2 linked regions of the Macaca mulatta genome follow. The protein of the gene in region 2 purifies or fractionates together with the protein of the main gene of each other region. This does not show direct contact. Links are inferred from orthologs where the notes say so. Each region holds a gene or a part of one and is shown on either strand. Other genes may lie near its edges.

Region 1 (6,434 bases), on a different chromosome or scaffold from region 2:
AGTGAGTCTAAGGAAGGAGCTGAAAATAGGTACATTTTAAAAAGCTACCCAGGTGATTTTCCCTAGGTAAGACACAACCAAGCCTTACCACTGGTGACTGGTAAACAGAGGTTAGGATATTAGAAAATTACATGTACCACAGGGCTGCAGCTGAGAGCTCCAAATTCCACTGCTTGTGGGGTGAAAAGCATTTCTTTCCAAAAGCTGCATTAACTAATGATCCACCCCTATGTAAAAAGGAATAAAATGTGCATAAATGTGAAACCCTCTGATCTTCCCTCCCTTGTTAAACATTGGAAAAGGAAGTCAGTTGTATAATTTCAAAGCTCTGCTCTTGTCTTTATTAAGTTAACATTCTCAGCACAAAATATGTTAATGTATTTTTTTTAATTAGATAAACTGCCAGGCACATTTTCACATTTTCTAACTTAGCCTATAATAAGAGTGAAAAGCTCCAACACCCAAACACCTCTTTTCAGCCTTCTCAAAGACATGTTAAATATCATTTCTATGTGCTTTTATTTGTTCATTCATTCACTCACTCAACAAACATTTTTGGAGCACGTAAAATGTACCAGACAATATTCTAGATACTGGATATAAATACAAAAATCCTCATAGAGCTAACATTCTAGTGGTTTTATGTACCTGCGTATCAATGCCCCTCATGCATGGGAGTGGGGGATAGTAAGAAAACCAAAACTGTAAGTAAGATGTATATTCTGTTGGAAGGCGGTAAATGCTAAGGACAAAACTAAAGCAGGGAAAAGGGATTGGGAATGTATGTTGGAGGTGCTGCAATTTTTAGCAAGGTGGTTAGGGAAGGTCTTGCTGCGAAAGTAATGGCTGTTGATGATGTCTCTGCGTAACTGAAATGTGTTTCCCTTCAGGGCGCCTGGAATGCCCTAGCAGCACCTGCTGCAAGAGTGTAGGCCACTCACCCTCCTCCCCCTAAAGTAAACTTTGGGGGTTATCTTACCTCACCTCGATTTCCATCTGATAATTATCTTGGCGGCTGTCTCCCCAAAGCTCTTAGTACAAGTGACACCACCCTCCCGATGCCTTAGCGGATGACTTTGCCTGGCGAATCCTTCTAAGTCCTGCCTTTCTTTAGCCACTGTGACAGGGCTGTAGTTTGTCAGGCTTCCAATAAGCTTTAGGACTGTGCTAGAGAGCAGGTTAGCGAAAGGACCTCCGATTGCCGGCCATTTAAAAGAGCCTTCTTTGCAGGAGCCAGAAACTTTTAAAATATGCAATTAAAAATTGTATGCATGCCCAGAGACCTTTTAAGCCCTTTTAGATATAACTAACCAAAAATAACTTCTTTCCTAGGTGCCAGGCTCCTAGTGAAGGGGTGTAGGGAACTAATTTCTCCCTCTTTCTCTCTCTCTTTTTGTTTTGGATAACATTTTTAATAGAAAAGAAACAGGGCAGATGGAGAAGCTATGTGTGGCAAGAACAGGGTATAAGAAGTAAGTACAGTTAGAAGAGATGAAAGAAGCTGCTCATGAAATTAGGTCTACTAGTTGGGATAATCAGAGAAGTTCCAATAAGTTTCTCGATTACAGAGAAGTGCCTAGTAAAACCCAAAAGAAAACGTTTTGGTTTATGTTCAAAATGTTATTTGTGAATGTATCAAGAAAACGTAATAAAACCTTAGGTAGCATGTTTGGGAGTAATTTAGCTATATCTCTATCTGTACATTTATTTTATTTTTATTTTTATTATTTTTTTGAGACAGAGTTTCACTCTTGTTGCCCAGGCTGGAGTGCAATGGCATGATCTCAGCTCACTGCAACCTCTACCTCCTGGGTTCAAGTGATTCTCCTGCCTCAGCTTCCCAAGTAGCTGGCATTACAGGCATCCGCCACCTCATCTGGCTAATATATATATATTTTTTCTTTTTCTTTTTCTTTTTTTTTAAAGTAGAAACAGGATTTCACCATGTTGGCCAGCTGGGTCTCGAACTCCTGACCTCAGTGGTCCACCTGACTCAGCCTCCCAAAGTACTAGGATTACAGGCATGAGCAACCACGCCCAGCCTAACTTATTTTAAATAAGACAGCTGTATTCGGAGCTGTATGGCTACTGTTAGTAACTACTTAGTTTAGGGATTTTTTTTTTTTGGTGGGGTTTCTTTGTTTTTTGGTTTGTGTTTTTTAAACAAATATCCTAAACTTGTTTTAAACAGTAAATCTTAGCCGTAGACATGTGTTGGCTATTTCATAAATTTAATAAAAGGTGCAAATAAATAGGAAAAATAGTTGAATTTGGAGTTCAATTCAAAGTGAATTGACCCTTAATTTTGAAAATAGTCATTCTACATTTTTGTCAAATTATTATTTGTGACTCTAATATGTTTTCTGGTATTATCTGTGCATTTTCAGCCTGGATTTTCTGTTTGATTAAAACTAAAGTTTTTGTTCAGTTGATTTTTCGAGTGGAAGCCAGGCCCAAAGCAGCACATCAGAAGCCATATAGCAAAATAAAATTAAAACAAAAGACATAAAACAGACCAGTTCCATTTCCATTTGTGAAGGGGTTTGTAGCAGCTCAGTTCCTGTCAAACTGCATGAATGGAAACCAAGAAGTATGTCACCTGACAGGGACTAGTTTCATCCCTCTCTTGTAGCTGCTTTTGGACCCTGGAGTTGACATACTCTGTGCTTTACCTCCTTCCATCAACACTGGGGCCTAGGAACATCCTTATTCCTCAGATTAAGAGAGGACTTTCTTAAGATGCTATGTGCCCAAAGGCTCTAGGGCATAAGCTTGAAGAATTATCTATATGTTGTCTCAAATCTTGTTAAATTCTCCTTTTCACCAATGGTGACATTCCTTATGCTTTTCTTATTTTAATCCAGGCAAACCCTTTTTTACACGAAATCCTTCTGAGTTGAAAGGCAAGTTCATTCACACAAAGCTGCGGAAAAGCAGTCGTGGCTTTGGCTTCACGGTGGTTGGAGGGGATGAACCTGATGAGTTTCTGCAGATCAAGAGTTTGGTCCTAGATGGTCCTGCTGCATTGGACGGCAAGATGGAAACAGGTAGCGTCCACATGGCCTTAGTGTGTTCTGTGTGGTGAGACTCCAACCCAGAACATAAAGATGTGCAATCATGACATTGTTTGGTTTGAGCAAGACCAGACAGCGTCATGATTGCACATGTTTATACCTTTAAACACCTTGAGAATGAGCCCGGTCTCCACATTATATAAATTCATCCCTTGGGGCAGATTGAAACCTGTGAAGTCATTTTAACTTTGGGAAACTGTGTGACTACAGTAAAGCAATAAGTTACTAAAAATGTAGATCCCCATTTAAATAAATGAATTCTAAACTTGGATTTCTGCAGTGAGATTTTTTTTTAGGAGAAAGCTCCAATGTTCTTTCAGGGATTATTATATTCTCATTAGCAGGGAAGATACTAGGTGCTGAAAGAACACTTTATTAGCTGTTAAAATCAGTAATAGAAGCAGTTCATGCCCTATAGTATCACACCCATGTGCAGTTTCAGTTCAGTTTCATATTAGTGGAATATATTATAATACTGATGGCAATTTTATGGGTGCTGTTTTCTTAACCCCCACACTCTTGCCTTCTACAGGGGATGTGATTGTCAGTGTGAATGACACCTGTGTTTTGGGACACACACATGCTCAAGTTGTGAAGATCTTCCAGTCCATCCCCATTGGTGCCAGCGTGGACCTTGAACTCTGCCGAGGTTATCCATTGCCTTTTGATCCAGATGACCCCAATACAAGTTTAGTGACCTCGGTAGCTATTTTGGATAAAGAACCAATTATTGTGAATGGGCAAGAGACCTATGATTCACCAGCTAGCCACAGTAGTAAAACAGGCAAAGTCAATGGTATGAAGGATGCCCGGCCAAGCAGCCCAGCGGACGTGACTTCAAATAGTTCGCATGGTTATCCTAATGACACTGTTTCTTTGGCTTCCTCCATAGCCACTCAGCCAGAACTCATAACTGTTCATATTGTCAAAGGGCCAATGGGCTTTGGTTTTACTATCGCAGACAGTCCTGGTGGGGGTGGCCAAAGAGTGAAACAGATTGTTGACAGCCCAAGGTGCCGAGGCCTGAAAGAAGGGGATCTCATAGTGGAAGTTAATAAGAAGAACGTGCAGGCCCTAACTCACAACCAAGTGGTGGATATGCTGGTTGAGTGTCCTAAGGGAAGTGAGGTCACATTGTTGGTGCAACGAGGAGGTAAGTAGGTTTGTTTTGTTCTTTGAATTTTTTTTTTAGTCCCAAATTCATTGCTTAACTTACTCATCTTCAGATGACCACTGGGGGCTTTTTAAATGTGTATTCCTTTAAGTTCGTTTTTATTTAAATGCTTCAAAATGCCTACTGATTTCTCCAAATACTAACCTCTTTCGCATAAAAATTATGGTTTATACATTATGGCAGACATATGCAGTTAGAGTGGTACTTTAAAACAGAAATCAGATTATGCCTTTTTAAAACGTTAAGATTTAAAAAACCTAACTTGGGTGTGGTGGTACCTACCTGTAGTCCTGGCTGCTTGAGAGGCTGAGATGGGAAGATCACTTGAGCCCAGGCATGTGAGTCCACACTGGGCAACATAGTAAGACCCCATTCTCTAAAAAGTGCTTTTTAAATAAAAAATAGTAATAATAGCCTGTATCCTTTAAGCCTCCTGAACTAGGCCTGCATAGCCTGCAAAATGTGGCTGTGATCACTCCTCGAAACTTGTCTCATGTTCCTCTCCTCCATCTGATGGTGCTTTATCCACACTGGCTGCTTATATGGAACTCCTTTAATGCTTCAAGCCTTTTCTTGCCTCAGGCCCTTTGTACTTACTGTCCCCTCTACCTGGAATGGTCCTTTCCCAGCTCTTCCCAGCTGGCTCAGTCTCATTTAGGTCTCCTTCTGAGAGAGGGCTTCTCCCATCACTTTTTCTAAAGTAGCTCCCAACACTTCCATATAATCTTGATCACATTTCTTCGTAACCTTGATCATCATCACCTTTTTAGCACAAGGCATTATTTCATGCTTTTATTTATTTTTTAGTGTTTGTCTTTCATGAGAATATAAATTTCCATAAAGCTAGGGCCCGTGTATGCATGTGGACAGCTGTTGTCCCCAGCATTTAACACAACACCTGACTCCTTTTAGGTATTTATGAATGAATAGGTATTAAGTGAATAGGTGTGTGATTATTTCTATTTGGCAGAAGCAAGAGGTCTGCTAATCATATTAAACACTTCCCTCAACATGCTCACATTTTAATGAAGTAGTTGAGGATCTCAGAGATCTGGGTTATTCTAAATCTTGAGGCATTAAACTTCCTCCTTTCTCCTTGAGTCCACATCCCACCCTCTGCTTCACCAGAAAACACAGGACCTCACACTGAGCAATATTTTCCACCATATTGAAATGCCTTGCTCTTGGAATACGTATATATATGTGATTAGTCGTGACTGATAGTTTCACACAGTGGGCCTGAGAATAGCTGTTTCCCTGATCCTTGTCACCATGATATGTTTCATGAACAGCATATTCAGGCCTTTTGAAAAGAAATCAAGAACCATACTTTTATTTCCTTTTGGTTTGTTGCAACTGAGGAGTTCATTTGTGTCACAGCAGCCCGATTCTCATGTTTTCGTGAATCTGTGTGTTCTGCGATCAGAATGGCTGGGGTCATTTGAAGGAAACCCAAAATACAGAGCACCTATCTACGTGAATTGAAATGCTCAATGAGCCTGGCTTAGACAGTTACAAAAGGCACTGTGCAAATTTTATTTTTCTAAATGTCGTTTCCACTAACTAATTTTCAAGTCTCTTCTTGTACCTAGATCACTTGACTGCCCAGAGAACTGGTTTTAAACAGTAGCCAAGATGTATGTAGTGGGAAATGACTTGGGTATAAGAACGATTATGACAATAATGATGATGGTGATGGTGAAACCTGGCACTTATAGAAGAATCAGTGATAGACAAAGCACTTTCATACCTGCACCTACCTCTCCTCTGATATTTGTCACTTTGCTGTGAAGTAGGAAGGTGCCACCCCACAGTAGTTCTGAGCTGTTCACCCTGGCTCTGTGGTTTCCAGTCCAATGTTCTGTCCCACTTAACTGAGTGACACTGATTTTTGTATAGTTGCTTAATACTGTGACTGACAACCTGGAAACTTTCAAATGGTTCTTGGTACATCAGGTGCACCTCTGTTTCAGCCACTGCTCATTTGACAGACACAAACCACCTTGTTCTCCAAACTCATCTATCTGCTTTCTCATTTCTGTTATTGATGTGTTAAGTTTATTATCTCTTTAGATTCACTTCTAAGGACACCAAACATAAAGTTTCATTATAGCCAACTAACTTACACACTTAATGAACCATATTGTAATGAATTTGCCTAAGCCAGCAAACAACTGATTATAGAA
Region 2 (6,434 bases):
CAACTGTAACTTTCTTATGCCTCTTCACTTTTGTTTTCAAACACTAGCAAGTAGTTTTGTTTTAGTCGCTCTGTTTTTTCCAGTTATCATTTCAATGCACATTGATATATCTGGAACCACGATAGAGTTTTACAGAGCTCCACTGAGCTATAAATTCATGATTCACATTCATTATTGAAGAAAATTATAGATGGGTATGTCATGGGCTTCATGAGTAATCAAAATGGAGAATGTTAAATCTGTGAAAATCAAGGGTGCAAAGTATATATTTTTTGTCATATGTGTTTGTCTTGGTGAAATATACAAAAAAACATTTTAGCGGGGCCCCTACTGTGCTCATTCTGTTTTTTCGTTTACGGAATTTCACAGAGAAAGCATATGTCTAAAAAAGAAAAACAAAACAAAAAAATACCACCACCACCATACCACAGACACACACACACACACACACACACACACAACAAACATCTTAATGCTATTTTCAACAAATTACCTAAAAGGAGAAGGAGCTCCAGCCCTGTGTTCTCATTTTTGCACTGACATTAACTAGTCAAACTTTAGGAGCCTGTTTCCTATTCTGACAAATAAGTATAATACCTGCCATCCACTTACCTGCAGAGTTTTTATGAAAATCCAGATTTTTTAAAGTTAACCTATTGTAGGATTGTTCTGTTCATAGGATCAAATAGAGGCAAGTAGCTTAGGGTTTCTTAGGTATTTGAATCAATAAGTAAACCTGGATTGTTACAATTTGGGCCCATCAATAATCACAGATTATTGGGAAAATAATAATGATGATCTACTTGTGTCTGATCTTTCCTGCTTCCTGCCTTAGGATCTAGTTCCTTTTTAAACTAAAAATGTGGCTATTTTCTGTTATTTTTAGCAAAAAGGGTAAAATACTTCCAAAAGCAGGAAAAGAAAGGAGAGAAAGAAAGTCCAGCTAGTAAAAGTGAAATTCCATGTGATTTGTTTGTTTCTACCACCTACTTCTGGATAGGCAGTTCTGTGACCTGGTACCTGAGACAGCAGCTGCGCTCTGTCTTGGTTGAAAAGAAATCTTCCATCATTCAAATCGGTGTTCTCTCAAACTTTCCGTAAAAAGTAGCATTCTTTCAAGGAATATCGTGAGATTGCTGCATAGGCTTTGACTCTGGTATGTTTCTGTTTTTCACAGGTATTATCTGAAAAACAACATGGAAACAGAAACTCTTTGTTCTGATGAAGATGCTCAGGAGTTGTTGAGAGAGAGTCAAATTTCCCTCCTTCAGCTCAGCACTGTGGAAGTTGCCACACAGCTCTCCATGCGAAATTTTGAACTCTTTCGCAACATTGAACCTACTGAATATATAGATGATTTATTTAAACTCAGATCAAAAACCAGCTGTGCCAACCTGAAGAGATTTGAAGAAGTCATTAACCAGGAAACATTTTGGGTAGCGTCTGAAATTCTCAGAGAAACAAACCAGCTGAAGAGGATGAAGATCATTAAGCATTTCATCAAGATAGCACTGCACTGTAGGGAATGCAAGAATTTTAACTCAATGTTTGCAATCATTAGGTAAGAGAACACATTTTTCTTAAGATTCAGTTCAGTTCACAGATTTAAAATATGTATCAGTCCAGGAACATCGTATAATTAGTATAAATGCAGTAGATTTTAATTGACTCATAAGGGACAATTCTTTTTCTCTGAATCCTAACCTTAATTGAAAATCTCTCGTACCAACAAAACCAGCTGTGCCAACCTGAAGAGATTCGAAGAAGCCATTAGGCAGGAAACATTTTGGTAGCATCTGAAGTTCTGATTTGGAGCTCCGAAAATCTATATCCCCCACTTTTTTTTTTTTTAAGTTTGTTTCAACTTTTCTCAATATCAGTTTACTTTTCTGTGGAAATAACAATACCCCAAAGAGTTATCAACAAGATTAATGATATCATGTATGCGGAGTTCCATCAAATAGCACAAAGCAGTTGGCCAGGAAATGTTAATTTTCTTCCCTTTTTTTAAGAGCTTAGATTGAGGTTAGAAGAAAAAAAAAATGGCAACAATTAGTTATGTTGCTATTGAGGGTGATTATTAAATGAGTCATTTTCTCTGTCTGGGAGTTTAGTCATACTCTCATTACTATCATAGCTTATTTTATTACTAGAGGATATTTGCTCAGTCGGTTTTATCAAAAGGCCGCTATGGGCTAAGCACTGGTATGTATACATACTGCTATGTATGGATACAAAGCATCAATACTTATATTCAGGTGGTTTTGCTGATAGTAAACAGATGAGGAGGGTCTATAGGGAAGAGGAGAGTAAAACGCCTTGGCTTGACCCTGACCCTACTTCCCTGTGCCATCTCATTCCCCAGAATTATCATCAACAGTTTCTTATGCAGCCTTCTGTAAATTGTTTTGCATATAAAGCATAAACAAGGAGGTGTTATGTGTCAATAAATAATCTGTACACTATTTTACTTTAGTTGTTATATCACATTTCTTTTTCTCCTCTCAGTGGCCTAAACCTGGCACCAGTGGCAAGACTGCGAACAACCTGGGAGAAACTTCCCAATAAATACGAAAAACTATTTCAAGATCTCCAAGACCTGTTTGATCCTTCCAGAAACATGGCGAAATATCGCAATGTTCTCAATAGTCAAAACCTACAACCACCCATAATCCCTCTGTTTCCAGTTATCAAGAAGGATCTCACCTTCCTTCACGAAGGTAAACATAAGGCAGAGGGTTTCCATCTTTGCTTGGAGAAGCACAGAATAAATGCCATGTGATTTCCTTTTTCTTCTCTGTCAATTTCAGGAAATGACTCAAAAGTAGACGGGCTGGTCAATTTTGAGAAGTTAAGGATGATCGCAAAAGAAATTCGTCACGTTGGCCGAATGGCTTCAGTGAACATGGACCCAGCCCTCATGTTCAGGACTCGGTGAGTATGTCATCTTCAGTGCCACGTGTGAGAGTAGAGAAGGTTAAATTTAGAGCTTCCCAATAAATGATTTTTTAAAAGTTTGAGTATTTACATTTGTCCTACGGCAGAAATTATAGTAGGATGTGCTGAGAATCACCTGTGAGCTCTAATTTGGAATAAATGTCTTATTCCTTATAAAGTGTTCTTTTGGCTGTCAGTAAAAACAGTTTGTCCTTCAGATATTTTCAGTGTAATAGTCACAATTATGTATTTCTTATTTCTCAGAACACTGACTTGTAGAGCTAAAACTCATAACTAGTAGTATGAACTAAAATATGTAAATATCCGAAATAGTCTTGTCTTAATATCCACACAACAGATTTAGCTAGCAGTGTAGTAAAAAGTGATTAATTCAGTGAAAGAGAGAAAAGTCGGTCTTAATTCTAGAACAAAAAATTTAAATATATTTGTCTTTTAAGCTAGAAAAATATTTCTAGTAAAGTTGCGTGTGTGAGGTGATTATGCAGTTTAATGTTTGTGGGCTTCTAGAACTGCTTATCCAGAAGTCTAGTCCTTTCTTTCTGAGCTTGTGATCTTTCTGTCTCTCTTTCTACACCCATGCTTCAATCTCCATGGCTCTCACTTACAGGAAGAAGAAATGGCGGAGTTTGGGGTAAGTGGTGGAGACCTTGCATACCCACACACAGTCCTTATTCTGCTCATTGTATTGTTTTCTTACCTGCTGTATTTTCTGATGCTTTGCATTTTTGCATTTTTTTCCTTAACCCTCTTGCTGTAGCAGAATTTCAGACGGCAAACTGACTTCAAGTTTAATCTGTTGGGGCTTTTGCTTTTGAAGTCATGATCCATGAGAGCTGTGAAATGATTGATGACTGTTCTGGGGAACTATAGGCCAGTTTTTCTGAACTCTTAGAAAGATTTTATTTTAATATAATTGGTGTGTCTTGAAATGCGGAAAGCTCAAAGTAGGGGGAGGGGAGGAAGGATATTAGAAGGAAAAATTGTACAATTAAAATATTTCACAGATATGTGAGAAATAAATATTTTTAATATAAAATAGGTGCCCCCAGGTGTTAAACCCAAATTTTTTACAGCTCAACTAACTACTATTTTCATTCTGTATAAACCAATCCTTTTTAAAAATAATTCTTAACAATTCATGTGCTCAATAGTTTCCATACATACATGTTTACATTTGCATGATTGTTTTATTAACAGATTGACCGTATTACTTTAAAAACTCACTACATTCAACTCAAGGAATAAGAAGACAATTGTGAACATTGTAGTTAATTTTATTTAAATATATATATAATATCCTCTTTAGGGGAAGTAATCTTAATGTTGCAAATCTTAATGATTATAGCTGTGTATTCTTGCATGAGCTTTTATATGTAATTATTATTTTCTGGCATCTGTGAGAGAACTGCCTTAAATGCTCTATAGAGGTGAAAAGTAGAATTTCCTAGTTCGAACTGAACAGGTGCCAAACATATATTTTTATATGTATATTATGTATAATTTTCTTTTAACTAAATTTTTTTAATCTATATTATTCTATATTCCTGTGTAACAGTTTACTCACTGGAATGAAGCATGTGACCTTTTGAACATAGAATATTAATATCAGTCTTGGCACGTTTTAAATAGATAAAGTACTCCCATGCTAGAGTGAGCTGCATATCTACCTTTTCATCTTCCAGGTCTCTCAGCCAGGGTAGTACAAACGCAACAGTGCTAGATGTTGCTCAGACAGGTGGTCATAAAAAGCGGGTACGTCGTAGTTCCTTTCTCAATGCCAAAAAGCTTTATGAAGATGCCCAAATGGCTCGAAAAGTGAAGCAGTACCTTTCCAATTTGGAGCTAGAAATGGACGAGGAGAGTCTTCAGACATTATCTCTGCAGTGTGAGCCAGCAACCAACACATGTGAGTTTTTCCTTAAAGTGGCTGCCGACTTTGGCTAGAATGCAGATTTGTTTCCTGTACAGTGATATGGGCAGTGACAAAATAAGGCTTAGTGCAGAGGGGGAGCTGGCAATCATGAGATATACTAGTCCTTCCCTTGAATGCTAATATTGAATACTGGATAGCACTGTGCGCGGCCAGGCCCTCAGGTCAGCTGGGTTAGTGTGTGGAGGATGACACTGTCCACATCTAGGGCAACCCGTTGCTTTAGTTTCACCTGGACACAGCCAGTACACATGCAAGGGGCGCATATGTAGATATGGCTCCCAATTATGTGTCTTGTGTTCTCAGAAAGGTGCCCCCAAATTATGGGCACCCTGAGGGGAGTCGGGGCATAAAGTTGAGTGTGCTGGCTGCCTTTTAACCACTAGCCCAGACAACACCCAACAAGAAATTCACCTACCAGTTAGAGCAATAATTCTGCTCCACAATGAACTACAATAGCCATTAAAAATCGGGTTAGTCTATAAATGGGGCAGTTTTTTTTTGCTAAATCTGCATCTTGACAAAGGCATTTTCCATTCAATACACTCCTGTGTCTTTTATGTGCAGATTTGAAGATGTCTGCTATAGGATTTAGTTTAGATAGGTGATTTGAGAAGATTTGGATTATTAGATTTACCCAGGACACTGTAGAAGCACTGTGTCATGGTGAAGAGCTTGTCCTCTGGAGTCAGAGTGGTCTGAGTTCAAATCCTGTTTGCCTCCTCTTACTAGCAATGCAGCCTTAGGCAAGTTACTTGACCTCCCTAATCCTTAGCTTCCAGGTGTGTATAAGGGAGGAAGCATACATATGTCATTGAGTTTTGCATATTAAGATACTACATGCACAATATTTAATTGTCCTAAATTGCTTTGCCATTTATCTACCACAAAATATATACTCAGTATAATACTCAAGCATTTTTGGCTACTGTTTGCTTGCATAGATAATTCTACCTCCTAGGAATGTGGTAGTAAATAGATTGCAGTTGGCAGCATTTATTAAATAAAAACTTAGTGCATATACTTGTCAACCAATTTGGAACACCATTTTAGAAAAATAGTGTCTGATGACTTGTCTGTTGTAGTTTTTATCATGTATTTGTGTCTTTCATATACATGGATATAACATATTGAACTACCCACATTTTTCTATATTTGTAATGGGGTGTTTAATAGTATAATCATCTTTTGAGATTGCTGACTTCATAAAGTAGATACCTTTGTCCTGCCACATACCTAATATTTTCTGTAACTAGGGTCCCCCATATCCATTTCTGTGCTTCATAAAGGCAGCAGGACGAAAGGTGTGCCTTTTAGTATTCTAACTGCAGAAAATGCTCACACAGTTCTAAAATTATCTTCTACATAGCTACTAGCATCTAAAATTCTTTGTTCTATTTTCAAACCCAAACAATTACCAGTGCCTAAGAATCCTGGTGACAAAAAGCCTGTCAAATCCGAGACCTCTCCGGTAGCTCCAAGGGCAGGGTCACAGCAGAAAGCTCAGTCCCTGCCACAGCCCCAGCAGCAGCCACCACCAGCACAT

What was found. The genes of interacting proteins can lie anywhere in the genome.
Region 1: the proteins of RAPGEF2 (region 2) and MAGI1 purify together in Homo sapiens (co-immunoprecipitation; 3 studies listed by BioGRID and IntAct, with this or other methods). This does not show direct contact. The link is inferred for Macaca mulatta from reciprocal best matches to the Homo sapiens genes RAPGEF2 and MAGI1.

The regions. Positions count from the first base shown.
Region 1 is NC_133407.1:128,979,913-128,986,346, reverse strand, and holds part of MAGI1 (membrane-associated guanylate kinase, WW and PDZ domain-containing protein 1), read left to right. Parts: intron 1-2,864; coding exon 2,865-3,047; intron 3,048-3,606; coding exon 3,607-4,227; intron 4,228-6,434. UniProt on the Homo sapiens protein: Plays a role in coupling actin fibers to cell junctions in endothelial cells, via its interaction with AMOTL2 and CDH5. May regulate acid-induced ASIC3 currents by modulating its expression at the cell surface.
Region 2 is NC_133410.1:167,884,977-167,891,410, forward strand, and holds part of RAPGEF2 (rap guanine nucleotide exchange factor 2), read left to right. Parts: intron 1-1,177; coding exon 1,178-1,561; intron 1,562-2,508; coding exon 2,509-2,720; intron 2,721-2,810; coding exon 2,811-2,934; intron 2,935-3,565; coding exon 3,566-3,589; intron 3,590-4,640; coding exon 4,641-4,864; intron 4,865-6,309; coding exon 6,310-6,434. UniProt on the Homo sapiens protein: Functions as a guanine nucleotide exchange factor (GEF), which activates Rap and Ras family of small GTPases by exchanging bound GDP for free GTP in a cAMP-dependent manner.